Linked DNA regions of Mus musculus: regions 1, 2 and 3 are each reported to be linked to region 4. The links are microRNA targets in miRTarBase. Many come from high-throughput screens and were not tested one by one. Region 4 holds a microRNA gene; each other region holds the end of a gene's coding sequence.
What was found. The annotated mature microRNA mmu-miR-125b-2-3p reads ACAAGUCAGGUUCUUGGGACCU and lies in region 4 at 3,283-3,304, opposite strand. An mRNA with a match to its seed (bases 2 to 7 or 8) in the 3' UTR can be bound and repressed. Matches are read on the target gene's strand: a 7mer-m8 pairs with bases 2 to 8, a 7mer-A1 pairs with bases 2 to 7 and ends in A, and an 8mer does both.

Region 1: miRTarBase lists Nphp3 as a target of mmu-miR-125b-2-3p. Seed matches in the 3' UTR shown: 7mer-m8 at 3,688-3,694.
Region 2: the mRNA of Eef2k is a reported target of mmu-miR-125b-2-3p. The part of its 3' UTR that is shown has no 7-base or 8-base seed match.
Region 3: the mRNA of Mrpl45 is a reported target of mmu-miR-125b-2-3p. Seed matches in the 3' UTR shown: 7mer-A1 at 1,579-1,585.

Annotation. Positions count from the first base shown.
Region 1 is chr9:104,041,379-104,046,447 of GRCm38, reverse strand. It overlaps Nphp3 (nephronophthisis 3 (adolescent)), which reads right to left. Exons shown (of 27, transcript NM_028721.3): 27 at 2,637-4,496. The coding sequence ends at 4,316. It also overlaps the pseudogene Gm18998. Among named protein-coding and RNA genes, the nearest start is that of Uba5, 19 kb to the left of the region's middle.
Region 2 is chr7:120,902,785-120,907,853 of GRCm38, reverse strand. It overlaps Eef2k (eukaryotic elongation factor-2 kinase), which reads right to left. Exons shown (of 18, transcript NM_007908.4): 18 at 635-4,572. The coding sequence ends at 4,463. Among named protein-coding and RNA genes, the nearest start is that of n-TLaag4, 12 kb to the left of the region's middle.
Region 3 is chr11:97,328,067-97,333,135 of GRCm38, forward strand. It overlaps Mrpl45 (mitochondrial ribosomal protein L45), which reads left to right. Exons shown (of 8, transcript NM_025927.4): 7 at 20-193; 8 at 416-1,854. The coding sequence ends at 502. It overlaps Gpr179 (G protein-coupled receptor 179), which reads right to left. Exons shown (of 12, transcript NM_001081220.2): 12 at 4,044-5,069. Among named protein-coding and RNA genes, the nearest start is that of Mrpl45, 15 kb to the left of the region's middle.
Region 4 is chr16:77,644,548-77,649,621 of GRCm38, reverse strand. It overlaps Mir125b-2 (microRNA 125b-2), which reads right to left and starts at 3,349; the gene lies at 3,279-3,349.

The DNA of each region.
Region 1 (5,069 bases), not on the chromosome of region 4:
TGGCAGGGTGTGGTCTTCGGGATTGAGTGGAATGACGTGTATGAGTGACGTCACTGTCAAACCAGCAAGACCGCATTGGTGCACCCTTCACATTCACTTCACTGGTGATCACACCCAGGGTTGTATATAATGGGGATGATGGATTCTTTTTCACACCAAGTATAGGCAGGCAAAAGGTGGCTTTTAGCCCAGGGTACGTGACATGGGCTTTTTAAAAACGTAGACCCATAGGCCTAATGAATCTTTCATACTTAGGTGGTTTTCTTGTAAAGCCATCACCAACAAAACAGACGTTAGTAACCGTTCTCTTCCATGCCCTCTTTTTCCTTTTTCCTGTTTGAATAACTTTCAATACTTCTGTTTCTCTTTGGGCACGAACTTTGGGAGAGGGACCTTCCATTTTCCCACCTTTCCTTTTTGTTTCTGCTTAATCCTGTTGGGAAGTACTTCTGCTCTGGACTGCCCCTCTCTGTCCAGCAGACAGGCGGGGACTGCTCCCTGTGGAGTCTTCCCATCATCCCTCTCTCTGCTTGGTGTTTCTCTTTTCATGCATCTTAATAGTTTTTTTTCACTTGTATTTTTTGGGCATGGCGCTGTTTTATGGTAAAGCTTTGCCTTCTTTGAATGCTCATGGGCCTCCCAACCTTTCTTTCTTTCTCTTTTTCTCATGGTAGTCCGAACGATATCCATATTGTTTGCGGTGCAATACAGTATATTCATTTTGTGGCATGATGACAGCCACTGAACAGCTGTCTGTGACCTCCCAGGTCCCAAAAAACTCTTTAATTTCTGGGTGTCACTGGTCCACGAGCCTGCCTCTATAGGTGATTTTTATATTTATAATGAAGTTGAATGCTTCTAGCTTTGAAACTTAACATTTATGTTGCCATGATAAATTTTTACAAATGTTTTAACAGAACTTAAGCATATTGGATTGGAGAATAACTTTAAATCACTAGACATGTTGTAAATTTTAAGATGAGGTACATTTTTTTCTAGAATAATTCTTTAGAATTAATGGTCCATGAATTTTCTAAGGTTTAATCAAGTCTTGAACTTTCAGGTTTTGTTAAGGCATAACACATAGGATCCATCATCCTTTAAAGATCTGCTTTCTGTACCAAATTCTAATGTATCTCTCTTTTTTCTTCTTCTTTTTTTCCCTCTTACCCAGTAGTTCACTACTGGGTTATCTCAAGCAAGCAAGCAAGCAAACAAACAAACAAAACCAAGTAGGCAGCAGGCACCTGTGAGCCAATAGAGTTCTCCCTGTAGCCTGCAGCCACAGAGCCCGAGGGCCAGCAGGCAGTGGATGAGAATTGTCAGAGAGCTTCTAGCCGTTCAGCTGAATTTCTACACACTGGGTCCTAACAAAGGCAAGGAGTCCCTCACCGTCTTAGCACTGACTCTAGAGTCTGAGTCTAGGCAGTAAAGCCCGTCACAGCTTTGGCTCCTTACTGCTAGCAGAAAGGTGATCTGTGGCTCCGCGCAGATCTTTGGGGTTTCTTCTCATCATCCTGGACACCCACAAATGTAGAACCAGAGGAAAAGGCAGCTACTTTATGTCAGAGAAGCCTTGACCTCCCCAGGTGACAATTCTGCTTTTCATGATTCCCCTTCTGTCAAGTACTGAAGACAACTTAGAGCAAAGTTTGGTTCCTGCCAGCTCTTTATTAGGGAGTGTCTGAAAATTACCATTTCACTGTGTGTGGGGGGTGTATGTTAGCATGAACACAATCTGAGAATCACATCTATGCTAACACCAATATATGTGAAGCAAGTATCTGTTAATGGGAGCGTATCCTACTGCTTGGGAATCACACATCCTCACACAAATGTCTGGTGCAGGTGCTCTTAGCATTCTCATGAGGCAAAGAACACAGTTAGTGCAATAAATGGTAAAATCATGATCTTATTATGTACTAAATTTGAATGTTTAATTTAGAAAAAAAGGAAATATGTAATTTAGTGACCACTTCTGTTATCATTTGTACCATAAAGTCAATGAGATATCACTGCAGTTTCTAAAATATTTTGTATAATTCTCAGATCTAAGTTTTAGAAGAACAAAGACTATGCTGATTTGAAGAGTCTTTTAGAGTACTGGTCACAGATTATTTAAAGTTTTTTTTTTAAAAAGGTGATTAATACTATACTTTTAGTGTATTACATTAGTCATGAAATAGATTTTAAGCTTTGATATATTAGTTGTAAAAATCAATGTCTAATATGCTTATGAATTCTGTTATTTGTACCTTTCAGAGGGGGCAAACTCCAAAGATAGGTTATGGTCATATTTTAGCTTTTTAGTTCCTCTGAGCCTCCCTCAGAAGGTGGAAGAAGAAAGCTCATTTTGTCATGTCCTGTCTAATTTAACTTACAAGTGTGTAGACTTTAGCGACGCTTCCTAAACTCAAAGCTTTGGCAGGACTGACCTGGCCACCTAGCTCTCAGGCTGCTTCTGAGCGGGCTCAGGGAGGGACCTCAAGGTTACGTCTAAATTGTAAGTAAGTGTTGGCTGGTGATGATACTGGCTTCTGCATCCACCAGGAGTTGGTGACACTGGGCACACCCTGAGGTCACCACAGTTCTTCAAGTTGAGCAAACTATTGACTAAACTTGGCCAAAATTCAAGTCTGCTGAAACATGTTCAAAGTTTATTCTTAAATAACTATGCAAAATAGCCCTCTAATACAGACTGCAAAATGAGAGAACTTGCAATTACACTTTTATTTTAAAACATACATTTTTTATGCCTGTCATCTTTACAATAATACATATTGAGATCTTATAAGATTTTAAATCATTGAAAATTTTACTATATACAAATAAAAACAAATATCTAAAATGTGGCAATATTTATCAAATCTATAAAAATATTTAATTTCCAGTATAAAAACACCAACTAAGCGAGGTAAGGCAAGACTGATTTTGACCATTTACGAAGGAAATGGATTTGTCATGGCTTTTTGTATGTGTGTGTGTGCTGAGGACTAAACCCAGGGTCCGAGGCATTCTACTGCTGTGCCTTCAGCTCTATTCTATTTTGTGACAAGGTCTCACTAAGGTGCCCAGGCTGGCCTTGAACTCACCCCATACTCTAAGCTGGTACTGACCTTGAAAACCTGTGCCTCAGCTCACGAGTAGTTGACTTTTTAGACCTGTCCCACAGTAAGCAAGATGAGAATGGTAAAGAGCCTGGCACCTGTGGTGGCACGCATGTCGTCACTGGCACCTGTGGTGGCACGCATGTTGTCACTGGCGACGCTGCAGCACTGTGAGAAGCTTCCTGGAGACAGCACAGAAAGCGGAGGCTGGCTAAACCAGCTTAGGGAAGAGGAAGGCCTAAAAGCCAAGCCAGCTGTGGAGGCATGCCTCTGTGGTCCCAACACTCCGGGGGAGTGGGGAGTGATCAAGAGTTCATGGTCACCCCGAGCTACAGAGATTCACAATGTGGTAAGAGGCTAGGGTGATAGCTCAGTTTGTGAAGCGTCTGCCATGTCAGCATAAGGACCCAAGTTCAACCCCCAGAGCCCACTTTAGAGAACTGGGGGTAGAGATGGAAGCTTGTGCTCCGGTCTTAGGAGAGAGAGGCAGGGGTGTGGGTCACTAGGATGTGGACTGCCAGGCAGACTAATTAAGGGCACCAGGTCACTGAGACCCTGTCTCAAAAACCAAAAACAAAAACAAGTCACGGTGGACAGCGCCTGAGGAATGATACCCAAGGCTGACCTCTGTCCTCCATGTGTACATGCACACGTGTGTGTGTGTGTGTGTGTGTGTGTGTGCGCGCGCGCGCACATCCTCACACACAAACCCAGAAAAAGGAAAACAAACAGAGTTCCTATCTAGCTCGTTTCACTGAAGACTGTTCCGACTCATTATCAACATCCCTTTATATTATTTATATTATCAACATCCCTTTAGCCCTTGAAAGTTCTTTGAGGTAGAGAACTGGCTCAGAGCCCTGCTAGGAACAGACAGTGAATGGCCAGAGCTAAGGCTGCTCTTGAGGGAGAGAAAAGAACTGTGGATTTCTTAAACCATGGGGTCCTGCCAGCTCTTGTTGCAGAGACCAAGCCACTCCTCATGCCACTGAGTGCTGATGTCGTCATCCTGGATTTTATCCCATAGGAAACAGGTTCTTTAATCAATTTAAACTTGACACGACAATTCAATGCAACTCAATACAACGTCATATAAATGCCAGCTAAATAACACTAAGATGGAAAAAAAAGATTTTCTTTAAAAACACTGAGAATATTCCAGATGTTTAGCTGTTTTATCTTGAAGTATCCTTGCAAAGAATTGACGGTTAGCTTTGCCCTTGGGGAAGAAAAACGTTAGGGGAATGAGTTGTTTTAAAGAGAAATGTGTCTCCACTTGATGACTGCCTTGAAGGAGCTTTTCCACCCAAAAGTGATGTCTCTGCTTCTTTTATCTCCATTGCCCTTTTGTACAGTTCAGCAGCCTTTTCAAAATTCCCTTCTTCATAGCTTTGAGAGGAAACAACATGAGAGATGCACTGCTATTAACAAGAAACTCTTGCTTCTAAGTAGCCATCAAGGTGCAGAAAAACAAGTTGCAACTCATTTGCCATTCCCACTGCACTCTTTTCTTTCTTTTTTTAAAAAAAATTTTATTAGATATTTTCTTCATTTACATTTCTTTTTTTCCAATATTTTATTAAGTAGTTACTTCATTTACATTTCAAATGCTATCCCAAAAGTCCCCCATACCCTCCCCCACCCCACCCCACCCCACTCCCCTACCCACCCACTTTCACTTCTTGGCCCTGGTGTTCCCCTGTATTTAAGAAAATACCTAATTAAAAAAAAATAATAAAAAAATGCTAAGTGTTGTTATCACCTGCATTCCGAGATGAACGCACAGGAGTGAGCAAAACTCAACACACACCTAACTCATCAGCTCTGAGGTTAGTACGTAGCCCTGTCACCCCATAGGCAGGAAGTGCTGGTATAGGCTGTCTTCACTACTGTCCACAGTACACGCCTCCAAAAAGTAAGCCTGCTTTCTCTCTGCTTCTGAGTACCACTTGAGTATCTAAA
Region 2 (5,069 bases), not on the chromosome of region 4:
TCTCCCTTCTCCAGCTTCTGCAGTGCTGGGGTTAGTCAATGAAGCCCCCAAACCCTGGATTTTGGATCCAGGGTTCTTGGCCATGCATTTCCCTATCTCCAGACTTTTGTTGTTCACACCTTTGGCTTCATCTTTATGAGCTTGTCTCAAAAACAATTTTTTAAAATCTCCTATCATTGGGGATATTGACTTAAATGTACATGATCTACTGTCATGGAGTTAAAACTCAAATTTCTTTAAACCCAACCAAACAAACAATTATCTTGAATCCAAATGCCCACGCCAGACAGCTCTGCAGCTCTCCACGAGCTTCAAAGCACCAAGTGCGCAGGATTTTCTCAGCAGCTCATGACAAACCTGCAGAGGGAATGACTGTTTTATAGCGGGACAAATCAAAAGCATCCACATTTTGATTCTATTTTATTTTATGTGCACTGGTGTTTTGCTTGCATGCATTTCTGGGTGAGGATGTCGGATCCCCTGGAACTGGAGTTACAGTTATGAGCTGCCAATGTGGGTGCTGGGAGTGGAGTCCAGGTCCTCTGTAATTAGCAGTCAGTGCTCCTAACTGCTGAGCCATCTCTCCAGCCCCTGCATCCACTATTTTACTCTAAAGCAAACTGATAGCGTAAGGGCCAGGTCGGAAAGGCTTTCTTTATTGGAATTTATTACAGATGTTAAAAACCAATGGCTATCATATTAAGAAGTTTTTCTACTGTGAAAAGCCAGCATGGGACCACGTTGGGCCCACACTGTGGGCGATGGAGCTCATGTTGAAGGTGAGCACATCCGCTCTTCGATCCATGCACGCTGCGGCTCACTTCAGCCTCCATGTAGATACATACTCATTTCTTGATTTGTATGTTTTCATAGGGAGGGGGAATGTGTGAGTTTGAGATATTTCAGAAAAAAACCCAAACTGTTGGGGAAGAGAAGCTAAAATCTGATACACACACAATTGCAGCCACACTTCAGCCAGTTGCCTTGAGGTCAGAGACAAAACGTTAAGGAAGAGGCACAAATCCAAGCAGGGAATGGGTAAATTTGTACCCTCCCCCCGCCCCCGATTCACTTCCATCTCGAGCTGCACAGACCTGTGCAAACGTTTGTGAATCTGCAAACCACACTTACTGATACAAAGATGCTGGGATGACGGTCAGCAAGGACAGATGGGGAAATCACTAAGTAGCCAAGGCTGGCCCAGCGTGCAGAGAGCAGGATTCTTCTGAAGTAGTGAGTTGGAGAATGTTTCTTTTTTACACTCATAAAGCTTGTATATTTTCCTTGCAGTGCTGGGGCCCAGACCCAGGACCTTGGCTGTATGCTAAGCACATACTCTAATCCTGTCTCATTGAAATTTCCCTGATACCTGTTGCAAAATGGAATGCGCCATCACAGTACAGTTAAATGTCTTTATTCCTAGAGTGCTCTGGAAACAGCAGCTCTCTGGCCCCTAGCTCCAGCTCAGCCTCAAGGAACAGCACCACTGTAGCCTGGTTTCTGTCTCTGAGATGAAAGCACGCATATCAGCTCTGTTAATCGAGGCTGTTACCTGCTTTGAGCACTGGAAGACAGAACTGATCATCAGTGCCAGGCACTGGCGTCTCCCTGCCAGAGCTGAATCCTGTCGGCTTGTTCTTGTCATGCCCAGCCTATATGGAAAGAGAAGATGCCCTGACCAGCTTTTGAAGGTCTAAGACTAAGTTTGGAAGGAGAAACAGCCATTAATTTTAAAGACAGAATCTCACTCTGTAACTTAGGCTTATGTGGAAGTCATGATGTAGCCCAATCTGGCATAAAACTCCCAGTGACCCTTCCATTTTAGCCTCCCAAGTGCTGTGCTGAGATTACAGGTTTGAACTATTTTTTTTTTTTATGATTTATTTTTATGTCCATCGGCGTTTGGCCTGCATGGTTGTGGGAGAGCATCGGATCCTTAAAACTGGAATTACAGACAGGTGTGAGCTGCCATGTGGGTGCTGGGAATTGAACCTGGGTCATCTGGAAGAGCAGCCAATGATCTTAACCACTGAGGCATCTCTCCAGTTTCCAGGGCTTTTTCTTTTTGAGACACAGTCTTAGTAAATAGCCCAGGCTGGCTCCAAACTCACAATCCTGCTTCAGCCTCCAAGTGGCAATATTACCCAGCAGGCTCTCCAAGCTCTCTTTTCATTCGCAAGGGTCCTTAAAGAGGCATTTGCTTAGCTGTGCACCAGGCTATCCCAGTCTCTTGGAGGAGAAAGAGACCACTTCTCCACATGAAGGCCACGTGGTTGGGGGAACTGCAGGCCTGAGGCTTTAAGTGATCCAGACAAGGACTAATCAATGAGTGAAGGATTCGAGTTTACAATTCCAGAATTAGAAAGGATAAGACAGACAGATCTCTGGAGTTCACTGGTCAGCCAGCAGAGCCTATTTGGCAAGTTCTAGGCCAGTGAGAGACTCAATGGAAAAAGGTGGCCAGCTCCTGAGGAACAAAATTGAGGTTGTCTGCTGACCAGCACACACACACACACACACCACAACTTATATGACAGTTACTCTGAGAGATTATGTCACAATAAACTGCTTCTTATGTTTAACATATACACTATGTTAGAACACCCACAGGACAACGCAAACCAGCTACTGTTCTGGTACTAATTAAAAAACAAAAACAAAAACAAAAAAACGGACAAGGGCCAATCTGTCAGAGAGAATCAGAAGTTATGGCTTCAAATGCAAATCCAGGGATTTTGGAACTTGCAGGTAGATGAAAGGAATTTTCAAGGGTAGTTTTTGCTATCTCATTTCTCTTACTGTTGTTTGTGTGTGTGTGTGTGTGTGTGTGTGTGTGTGTGTGTGTGTGTGTGTGTGTATGGGGGCTCTCTCGGGACACAGCACACAAGTGAAGATCAGAAGACAACTTGCAGGAGTTTGTTCCCTGCTTCCACGCGTGGGTCCCAAGAACAGAACTCAGATTGTCAGGTGAGGGTCGGCAGGAGCTTCATCCATGAGCCATCTAACTGGCTCTTTTCCTTGTTTGTTTTTTGGGGGCAGGGTCTCATTACATAGCCTAGGCTGGTCTCAAACTTTGATCCTTCTGCCTCTACCACCTGAATGCTGGGATTACAGATGTATACCATGGCCTCCAGCCCCCAAGGTTAAACTGACTCTGATTTTTCCCTCAAAGAACATACACCCTAGACTTTACAATCTACTGCTTCTACAAGTTTTTGATTGGGCAAACTCAATAGTGAAATCCTTAAAAGGCCTGTTTTAGCCAACAGGTGAGGATGGCTTGCATGTCCCACTCTGCTGTTCTGTTTTTTAAGCAAAGATAGAGGCGGTAGATCTAATATCAGTGGTCAAATCAAAGCGGGCCATTTCCCTGTGGCTGGAATAGCACTCCCATGAAATCTGAACTCCTTTTAAAGAGGAAGCTCATCAAAGTCCCAGACTGACCCTGGGGAAATGTCCTAACCCAGTCAGTGTTTAGACTCTTGTCCCCTCATTCTCAAACATCTTAGACAAATCCCAAGGGGCTGCAGCTGGAGGCCGCTTGCTGCAGATGACCTCGTGTTAAGTAAGGAAAACCTAGTCTCAAGCAGAAAATGACAAGGACAGCAGGCTGAGGGCGGAGTCCAAGAAACATCACATTAAGAAACGGCCAAACGGCCATGGAATTCTGCACAAGGATGCTTCAGTCACGTAGTGGATGTGGCCATGGTGTACAGAGGGCACTTCTGTTTGGAGGAAAGTTGCCCAGCTCCTAAGCCATGGTCTTACTGTGAATGCTTTGAGGTACAGCTGCTTCCACACCCCCAATGCAAGACTCAGAGGTAGTAAATACGCATGTATAAAGGCCAAACCTGTTTTTGAAAAATCTATATTACATAGCAGGTCTAAAAAAAAAAAATTTAGAAGGATGCCAGGAATCACATGTCCAGTGGAAGGGCATTAAGTGAAAGTTATACAACTATCTCCCCCAGCATGAAGGAGCCTGGGTATTGAACCATCTCACATCCACTGGAGGAAACAAACAAAAAAACAACATACCGCTCTCAAAACTGAAAGAAAGACCCATTGTGGAAAGCCAATAGAAAGGTTTCCCAGCACATGGCCTGGAGACCCTGAGATGTGAGTCCTGCCTGCAAAGGCTGGCGAGAGAAGCCCTGATACTGTCTGATCATCCAGACAGAAAGATACTTGCTTACATCTCAGGATGAAAAAGGGAAAACCGGGGGGTGGAGGACGGGAAAGAGACTCATTAGGCTGCATCTTCAACCCCCCACTTCCCCCAAAGTACCACCACTAAAAGGGCAGTTATAATGTCTCGGCCAGCTGCAAAGGCTATCAAGAGTGAGAAAACGGAATACAAAAGTGAGTTTATACCATAATAAAACTGCTTCTCCCCTCCCTAGAAATGAGTCCCATCCTCCCTTCCCCAGCCTTTCTCCTTGGCAGTGATTCTGTGGGGCAGTTATTCCTCCATCTGGGCCCAGGCCTCTTCCGCCTTCTCGTAGTACTGGTTGGCTAGCCGGCCCTTCATGGCTTCCATTGCTGCCTCAGCTGCCTGGGTGTACAAATCTCCTGAAAGAGAGCAGAGTGGGGGACAAAGAGGTGAGCCACTTGTCTCTATCAAGCCAGCAAACTTCATCCCATCCAAGAGAGCATCTGAGGTTTCTATAGCAACCTGAGCTGTATGGTATAATCCAAGTCTCTGGGGATAGCATATGATGAAAGCTCGCTGGCCAGAGCACTCTTCTAGTCTCTGGTGTCGCTATGGAACTCAAGAGTTGCCTGCTCTTCCACTGAGCCACACACCCGGCCCTGAAAAGGAATTTGTTTTCCTAGGCAACCAGTATAAATGACAGCTCAAAACTGACAAGAAGTATCTAATGTTGGGGACTCAGAAGTTAAGAGGACTTGCTTGCCTGTAAGAGGACCCACACTCAGTTCCCAGGATCCTCACGGGGAAGCTCACAAGTTACAGCTGGGATCCAGCACCCTCTCTGGACTCCACGGGTATGTATACACACTCGGCCTACATTCACACATACGCGTACATAAAAATAAAAAAAAGTTTA
Region 3 (5,069 bases), not on the chromosome of region 4:
TTTTATTTCCTCACTGCAGACTTTGGCCATTTATGATCGGTTTGGCAGATTGATGTATGGACAGGAAGATGTGCCCAAGGATGTCCTGGAATATGTGGTGTTTGAAAGACACTTGATGAACCCGTATGGGAGCTGGAGAATGCATGCCAAGATTGTGCCCGCGTGGGCACCCCCTAAGCAGCCCATCCTCAAGGTAAAGAAGGCTGCTTGCACGCTCTAAGAGCAAACTTGAAGCTGTATGTAGATAGCCTTGTCAAGCTCAAACGCTCTTCTTAGGCTCCACCTAGTGGCGAGACGGAGTGATGCAGCTCTAGGGAAGGGGAACTTTCCCTGGATGCTGCTGCGGGAGGAGGACATCCTGGGTAAACAGTAGGTGGGATTGGTAGGTAACTTGAGTTCCTCCTGTTCTTTTCAGACCTTGATGATTCCTGGTCCTCAGCTGAAACCCTGGGAGGAGTACGAAGAGACTCAAGGGGAGGCCCAGAAGCCTCAGCTAGCCTGATGGCGTTAATGACTCCTGAGGAGCCTAGCAGTTGTGGTGAACATCTTTAATCCCAGCACTCAGAAGGCAGAGGCAGGTGGATTTCTGTGAGTTCAAGGCCAGTCTGGTCTACAGAGCAAGTTGCAGGACAACCAGAGCTACACAGAGAAACCCTGTCTCAGGAAAAAAAAACAAAAAGAAAAAAGACAAAAAGACTCCTGAGGTGTTCCGATGGGGCTGCAAAGTCACCTGTACCCACCTGTACCCCGAAGGCTTCCCGTGCTGTCTCCTGTCCTGCCTGGGTCAGCAGTCCCCCAAGCCCCTCACAGTCATGGCTGATTGTGTGGCCAGGTGGTGGCTGGGGTGCCCCGCCTTGGAGCATCTTCTGTTTACAGCCATGTTCAGCTTCTGAGGTGAAATGAGAAGCAGCAGCAGAGAGAACAAACGCGACACTGGGCTTTTCCCAGCAGCAGCAAGCTGTGGCATCAGACCCACAGCTTTCTTTTTTCTAATTATAGGCCGAGTCAGCATTTGGAATAAAATACTGTCAAAGAGTTGGATAAACTGTGTGTTCTGTACATTTTCCCTGGTTCAGACTGGGACGGAGCGGTTCTGTGATGTCAGGCATGGGAAAGCAGTATAGTTATAAGTGATGCGGCTTCCAGGAACTCTAGATGGGAAGACCTTAGAGTGTCTACAAACTAGGGCACCCTGCTACAGTCCTGCCACGTGGGAAGTTGGGGCAAGAAGAGGACCAGGAACTAGATGCCATCCTTGGCAACACACAGTTTAAAAGTCACTTAATCTTATATGCCTGAGTGTTCTGTCTGCACCTGTGTTTATGTACTACACGCATGGCTGGTGCCCTTGGAGGTCCAAAGAGGGTGTCAGATCCCCTGGAACTAGAGTTACGGATGGTTGTGAACCACCACAGGTGCTAGGAACTGGATCTGTGTCTTCTGCAAGAGCAACAGGTATTCTTTTTTTTTTTTTTGAGATGTATTTATTTTATGTGTGTGAGTGCACCGTCACTGTCTTCAGACACACCAGAAGAGGATCCCATTACAGATGGTTGTGAGCCACCATGTGGTTCCTGGGACTTGAACTCGGGACCTTTGGAAGAGCAGTCAGTGTTCTTACCCACTGAGCCATCTCCAACCTGTAACAAGTATTCTTAGCTACTGAGCCATCTTTCCATCCCAGAATACTACTTTAAAAGATCTCTTTAATATAGATGTTTTAATTTTTTTTTCTTCAGGTTTCTCTGTGTAACATCCCTGTAACTTGCTTTGTATACCAGGCTAGCCTCCCTTATAGAGATCTGCCTCCCATCCTCCCTCCCCCTTTGCCTGAGATTAAAGGAGTGCTACACCATACCCAGCTTAAAATTACTTTATCTTATTTTATATATAAATCAAAGTGGGGGGGATTGGTCTTTAGCTTCCCCACTCCCACCCCTGCCACAGACAGAGTTTCTCTGTGTAATAGCCCTCTGTCCTGGACCAGGCTGGCCTTGAACTGAGGAATCTGCTTGCCTCTGCCTCTTGAGTGCTGGAAGTAAAGGTGTGCACTAACAAGCCTGACCGTTCTTCAGCTTTTATGTATTCTGTTTTGTTTGAGAGAAGGCCTGAAATTTGATAAATGTAGCCCAGGCTTGCCTTAAACATGCAGTGATCCTTCTCATGGAAGGTATGAACTACCATGCCCAGCCTGCATTTTATTTTTAGGTATTGGACTTGTCCCCGCCCAGCTAGACTAGACTACCAAGGAAGAGTACCAGCACTCAGGCAGAGGCAGGTGGATCTATGGGTTCAAGGCTGACCTAGTCTACATGAGGAGTTCCAGGAGAGCCAGGGCTATAGAGTGAGTTTTTTTTTTAAGATTTATTTATTTAATGTATGAGTGCTCTAACTGCATGTACATCTGTGTGTCAGAAGAGGGCATCAGATCCCATTACAGATGGTTGTGAGCCACCATGTGGTTGTTGGGAAATAAGCTCAGAACCTCTAGAAGAACAGCCAGTGCTCTTAACCACTGAGCCATCTCTCCAGCCCAGTGAGATCCTATCTTAAAGAGAAAAGAACACTGTAGGAAGTTTAGGAGGAAGCAAGGACAAGCCAGGGTTCATTCTTAGGGGGAAATCAGTAAGATTCGGTTCTGATTTCTTGTACCTCACAAAGATGCTGGCTATGCCTTCCAGCCCAGGACCAGAGTGCAAGCCAGCGTGCAGTGCAGCAGCCCAGTCCTTGTTCTGCTGGGGCTGCTTGGAGAAGAGGGTCAGGGGTTGATGCTCAGTGTCCTGGGAGATCTGGGCATGACAAGGGGAATCTTACTTTTCCAGCCACAGGCTTGCTTCATAGTGCTTTTGAGTTCTTGTTTAAAAACGGCCTGCTGGAGATACAGCTTAGTAGGTAGAGTGGTTTGGTTTGGTTTGGTTTGGTTTGGTTTCTGTGTGTATGAGGCTCTAGGTTCAACAACACAGGAGAAATGAGAGCCTAAGTTCTCATACTTAATTTTTCTCCAGACTAAAATTTTCTTTGTCACTTCAGGTCAGAGTTAGTCTGTCTAGAGTAGGGTAAAAGAAGCAGGAGTTGGGTCAGAAATAAATGACCTGTCGTTTTTCCAAACCTGCCTTCTCAGAGAAGCTGCAAACAGGAGAGGCCTTAGTGGGGGATGTTATCATCCATTCATCAATGTTATTATTTATCATTTATTTATTTATTTATTAAATGTGCAGGAGTGTTTGAGTGTGAATGTGTGCACGAGCCAACTTTCAGACCGAGGTCAGAGGACAGATTTTGCCTTCTAGTGTGGATTCTAGGAACTGAATTTTTGTTAAGTTGGCACCACAGATAGTTTTACCCATTGAGCAACCTTCCTGGCCCAAGCCTGGTGTTTTCATAACAGCGTGTGTGTGTGTGTGTGTGTGTGTGTCTATTCTGAGGCAGCCAGTCTCACCCTGTTTAGTCTCAACCCTCCAGGCTTAAAATGTGCATCACTTTGCAGCATTACTGTCCAAGTGAGGCTTGGACACATCCTATTTGCCTGAGCCCTGGATTAAGGCAAAATAAGAAGCGCTTTGAGCTGGATCCATAGCCGGGGAGTAAGAAGGAAGGCAGTTAATCCCAGCAGGGAAGAGAAGCAGAGAAACAAAAGAGCTCACTCAATAGGTACATGGTAACATTGATTTCTCTTGAATGTATGAAAAACAGTGATTTAGATGAGCTCTTTCATCCCATGGCCATGGATCTGACTCTGGGTCTCTGGATGGTCCTAAATCTCTGCTAAGCAATAGCTGCCACCAGGAAGCCAAAGGATAAGTGCAATTTCATTTCCTCTGGGACCAAATCCAGTTGAGCAAATGGGCCCAGATGTGAAGGGTTGGCCTGGAGAGCAAGGCAGAGAGCATCTGTTAGCACGGCAGAGAATAAGCTGGACCTACCGCACCCCAAGTCCTATCAGGTACAGGGAGCAGGCCTTGGAGCAGGCACTGCTCTGTCTGCTGTCCCTCTGTTGACAAAGAAAACCACCAGTATCAATAAGCTGGAGCCGACCACAGGAGCCGAGAACAAGCATTCTTTATTATTTTCCTAGGTGGCTATTTATAACAGTAATACGGGGATAACGATGCTCGTCCCAGCTAGAACAGACCCAGTGGGATTGCTCTAGGGTGCACAGTTAGTGAAGTCTACCATAGCTCAGAAGCTGTGGGGTTAAGTAACCACAGCCGCAGAACAATACAGCTGTAGAAACCCAGCGCAGGAGAGCTGGGTAGGTAGGAGGGCTTAGTGTGGGAATGAGGGCCACTGGCCCCCAAAGGAGACCAGGCGACTCTCTTTCAGAAGTGGAGCATTCGGTTGCTTTTCTCTGAGGCTCTGAGTCTGTTCAGCGATTTTGCATGTGGACTCCTGGTTCTCCCACCAGGCATTTGGTCTCATTTGAGGTTTTCTACCTCTTAAACAGCACCTGTATCACTCCGGTTAGAGGGTGGGACTTACACCGTTGTCTTTAATGCCCCTGCCTGCTGGCTCTGCCACATTAGCCTGCTTGTCTTCACCCCCATCTCCCTCTCTCAAGCTGGAACCTCTGTATAAGTTTTTCTCCTTCTTAGTTTCCCATCACATGACACCAACCCTGTCATCTCGCACTGCTTAAGCAAGGTGGCCTAAACTGATTGTGGAGAGGAGAGCCAAGCTGCGGGTGGACGGCTGAGAAAGAGGCTTTGTACTCACGAGGTGCCTTTCCCGGCCCTGGGGAGCGCTACTCTTTCTGATAGTGGTTGGGATTCGGATTGAACAGGCCCTCTATTCTTTCCCAGGCTCCTCTGGGAAGAGATCTGAGTGAGTTAGAGTCAAGTTCTTGCTTGAGAACCAGAGATTCCTCCTTGGCACCAGTTACATTTACTAAAAAGAGGGTCCGCTTGCTGACTACAGAAAGACAAGGAGGAGGAGGCAGTGAGGTGGGGCCTGGACGTGGCAAGAGCTGGGGCAGGAATATGGGAAGAGGCTTCCTGGAGACATCGGGAAGAACACCTTGTCCAGTGTGGGAGGGCCCTGAGAGAGCGTCTCTCCTTCTCTGTTCTCTGTTG
Region 4 (5,074 bases):
CACACACACACACACACTAATGACTATTTGATCATTGATGGATAAGGACACTAAACATGAAACTGATGCATAGGTTAAAAAATAGCAACTGAATTTCAGCCTACTAATTATGTATTTGCAGAGCTACAGGGAAAAACTTTATTTTCAAATGTTTACAAACTCTCAAGATTTTCTTTTTCTTTTTCTTTTTTTTTTAAACTCATCTATATTTGGAAACTTGCTTGCTTTTTTTCAGATGCAGTCACTTAGGGATCAGTGGGATTTGAATACTGAATTAAAAGTCTACTAACAAATCAGACAAAAGAATCCAGGCATCAAAACTGTGCCTTCCTTGGCTGCCTATGAACAAGGAGGCTGCATTGCATGTGAAAATGGCAAGGAAACTTGAGCTTCAGCCCCCCTTTGTATGTTGCTATACTATAAACTCATCCAAACATGACAGCTTGCAAGGTCATTTGCATATTTAAAATATATTCGTTCAAGGTTAGCACGTGTACCAGCATGCCATTTTGAAGATGAGTTTAAGGTAAGCCCCACCTTTTCTAATTTCATTAATAATTAATTTTTACTGTAATTCCCCTGAGATACTCCTTGGGAGATTCCTCCTTGGGAGATTATGAAATGACTTAAGAATATGTCTACGCTTCTGTTGTGTCAGTGGAAGACTGAAATGTTTAGGAATTTTAAACTGAGAGTGATATTGATCTCGAGAATCCTAAAGGAAAATATAATCATATTAAGATCTGGCAAAATTCCAAATGGTCTCCTTTATGGATTCTAAAATGCTTTAAACATTGTCATGTAGAAAAAAATAAGTCCAGTTCCCCTTGAAAGAGATCTAAACCTAAAAACACAGGTATCACAATATTGTTAGAGGCACACAACGGAGACAAAGGAAAACTACTATTTCATTAGTGTGCAGTAAATGGCTAAGTTGAGTAATGATTTTTATTTCTAAAAAGAATGTGAAGTTGACAGTAATTTAGCAAACAATAAGAGAGAGAGAGAGAGAGAGAGAGAGAGAGAGAGAGAGAGAGAGAGAGAGAGAGAGAGAGAGAGAGAGAGAAACAAGCAGGGGTTAGTCTATGAACTTGGAACAGTGACTTGCTACTTCAAAATTAAAATGTACAAATAAGCTGGTGTCAGAGGAGAGGTGATCCCTCATTTCCAATACACTGAGCAAGCTCACATGGGCAGCAGACAGCTCTTAATGTATGCGTCTGGCTCAGGCTGCTCTCCCAATCCAGAAGCCATCAGATTGCTAATATCACTGCGTTTTGTATGCAAACCACATCATCTTCTCACTCTTTGTTGTTTATCTTTTTGTTTATTTTAAGCTTAGAATGATCTGGTTTTCCAAGTCACATTATGAATCCACAGAACTGCATTATCTGGTGACAGCTGAGAGAGAAATGCAGAGATAGTCACATCCATTCACACACAACATAAAGTAGCTTATGAAACAAAGTCTGATGTACACACACACACACACACACACACACAGACACACACACACACACACACACACCTTTATAGCATAAGACTTGTTTGTGAGTAGTATTCTCACACAACACATGCTTTGCACAGAGAATGTTCAAAATTGCAAGATACATGATGTATATCATATATGATATATGTGATGTTCAGGAGAAGTGAAATTTATTTTAGCATTTTTTTCTCCTATAAAATCTAAGTTAATATATACTACTGTTCATTATCATAGCATAAACAGAAAACCTTTACATTTAAATTTTTTGCTATCATAGCTGACTACTATTATTCCCTAGTTCATTGTGGATTTCAACTGATGAAGTAACACTTGCATATCGTTTATGATTATCATAAAACAGGTGTTAGTAAACACACTCCTCTCTGATCATCTGTGTAAAGCTTCTGTTAAATAGAATCAAGCTTGTGTGATGCTCACAGATACACATACATAGAGTTCTTTGTGATTAAAGAAAAGTTCTGACTTTATATTTACTCCTTTCACATGGAGTCGTAAAACATGCTTATATACACACTTAGATTTTAAAGCTTCTAGATAAATGACAGGGGTGAGGCCAGGAAAGAATCTAAAAAGATTCTTTGTGTTGATACGACATCAACACAAACTTCAACGTAGTCTGTGTTTATGATACTATTATATTATTTTTAGGAAACAATAAAGATGCTTTGCATTTTTTTGATATTTCAAGTAATGAGCAATAGTAACAACCTTAACAAAAACAGAACAAAGACTCCACATGATATCCTAAAATAGATTCATAGGTTTATTTACTAATGGAGAAAACAATTTACGGTGAAACATCAGAGTTAAAACACCAAAGTCACTCTTGCCTGTGTTATGAAAGCCACCTTGTTTTAAGCCTAAATTTCTGCAATGTTACTGTATATTTGGAATAGATTTATTGATTATAGATCAAAAAAAACACATGTTTAATGTATCATTGACTAATAAGTCACACAGGCTATGGATGGAATATTTACTTCTGGTAATGAAAATTCTGATCAAAGCCTGCATCTCAGACGTGTTTTACATGTGAACAAGAGCAGCTGAGTTCATAGGCATTCTCTAATGCTTTATAACACACACAAAGTGAAATGTAGAAATTCAAAAGCACTGTATTTTCCCTAAATATATACTTTGTGAATCTCAGAATAAGGCAGTTGTTCATACATATATACTGTTATGTGTGGGCAAAAGACTAAGGAAACACTGGCTAAAATTACCATGTATAAAACAATATTCTCTCATATTAGTATCAACAAGAATAAGATCAATAAAGAAAACTGTAAATCGTTTCTTTTTCAGGCCTCGAGTATGATTAGAATCTCATTTGACGTAGTCTAAGCCACAGTTCTATGGAAGCATGCATAATTTATTGAAATAACTAATGTATATAATTCTACGCATACAAAAACTTATGAATATAAACAACTCTTACAATGAATCTTCTTCATCTTAAAACACACCCAAAGCGATGTTTATTTTTTTAAAAAGAACTTGTGTTTTAATTCTACTTCTTGTACATATCTCTTACAACACTTTTATACGATAATCACAGTAAATACAAACGCTATTTCTATTCTACTGTGCCATATCTTTAGAGTACCGATTCTGAAGATTGTATTTTGGGGGTGTTGTCATGGTGAAACCCTTGCTGATTAGAAAGAAAACCATTGTTCTTTGCGCCTATGCAGAATCTATGCCTGTTCTTTTGTTCTGGTGGTTTATGCCGAGAATCAATAAGGTCCCAAGCTGCTGGTATCCCTCCGCCTAGGTCCCAAGAACCTGACTTGTGATGTTACTAAAATACCTCACAAGTTAGGGTCTCAGGGACTAGGCAAAGTCTCGTGTGATGCAGGAGAATTCTTCTTCCAGGTAAACGGACAGCTTGGGAATTAGAGTTGGGTTCATTTATTTTTAATCTTCTAAATACTAATTGAAACACACAGACAGAAACATAAGTAACACATGAAAGTCAAAGATGAGCTGAATAATCAGGACGGCCACCTATAGATCAGAACTTACAGTAATGTGGGGCATGAAAAACAAAGCAGACAATGGACATTTAAGAATCACCCCATTCTATCCAAAGAAGGAGACAAAAATGGGTTAAAATATGCTCCTTGCAGATTTTTACAGCAACACCCACTTCTATTACACTAAAAAAGGATTATATGCCAGTTAATGGGGCCCTAATTGATATTTTGCTTCTATTGAAGTTTTATATATCACAACTGTTACTGTGGGCCCAGGATATACAACACTTCAAACTCTCATTTAAATTATTACAGATAAGATTTAAACAAAAACTTTGAATATGTCATAATTTAATACCTATTAATGTTGATTTTTCTCTTTAAATATGCAAACTATTCAGACAGCAAATATTTTCATGCACACTTCATAGTTATTTGAACAAGACCACCTAACAAGCTTTAACTTAAAATCCTGGCAACATAGTAAGAAAACAAAAAAAGATCCTTTACTTTGAATAATTACATTATATAGTTCAATACTTTTGAAAATACACAGTCTCAATCCTGACTATTCATCAAATTCTCTCCCATCTTTTCGCCTTGTTGTGAAAGAGCAGAATCTGGACTTTAGGAATGATCCAAGGTTTAGTAGCACAGAATGCAGGGCAAAACAATCACACTTAGCACAGCATAAAACTCCTGGCCACAGAAGTGGAATCTGGTTCTTCAGAAGTGGTTGATCTTAAAAGGGAAAAGCAGGGGGGTTAGAAAAGGAGAGAGGGGGAGAGAGAGAGAGAGAGAGAGAGAGAGAGAGAGAGAGAGAGAGAGAGAGAGAGAGAGAGAGAGAGAAATGGAATGATTTAGAGTGTTTTCCTCTAGGCAGGTGAACCATCCATTTCCAGGAAGCTGCAAGGAAAGCTATGCTGAACAAAATATTTGCTAAGTGTTCCCCTCCCCCACCCTAGTACCACACCCCTTTCTAACCACCACCCCCCTTCACCCCTGCCCAGATCTTTACTTTGCCTTGTAAGACTTAAGCATTCTGTTCCGTGATGTAATGCATCATTATATAAGATCTCTTTCTGTTTATCATTTGATTTCCCATACTGAATCACTTATGGCCCCAAATAAATAGTTTTATAGAAGAAAAAAAAAAGATAAAACCAAAACCAAAAGAAACAACCAAAAAGCAGCATTCACAAAAAGCAAAGAGGAAAAAAAATAAAATTAAATAAAACAAAACAGTACTTAGATAAAAGTCCATGCTTTTTCCTTAAAACTGAATATGGCTTTACAATTTTTGACCATAGCATTCAACCAATTATTAGAATGAAAAATCTCACCCCTCCATAAATATGACATTAACATAATTATACCACCCCCATCACGGAGACCCATCCTCCTTAGGGAATACATCTGATGCTCCAAAGATGGAAATCAGTCAGATTTTAGTTGCTCTCCAACGTACCTTTGCTTCTCACTGACTGACTGGCTTTTACCCTCCACGCACTCACACGCCACCCCCTCCCCTCGGCTAGACACGGATGCCCGAGCGAGCACGCGCGCGCGCACAGGCACACAGACACAC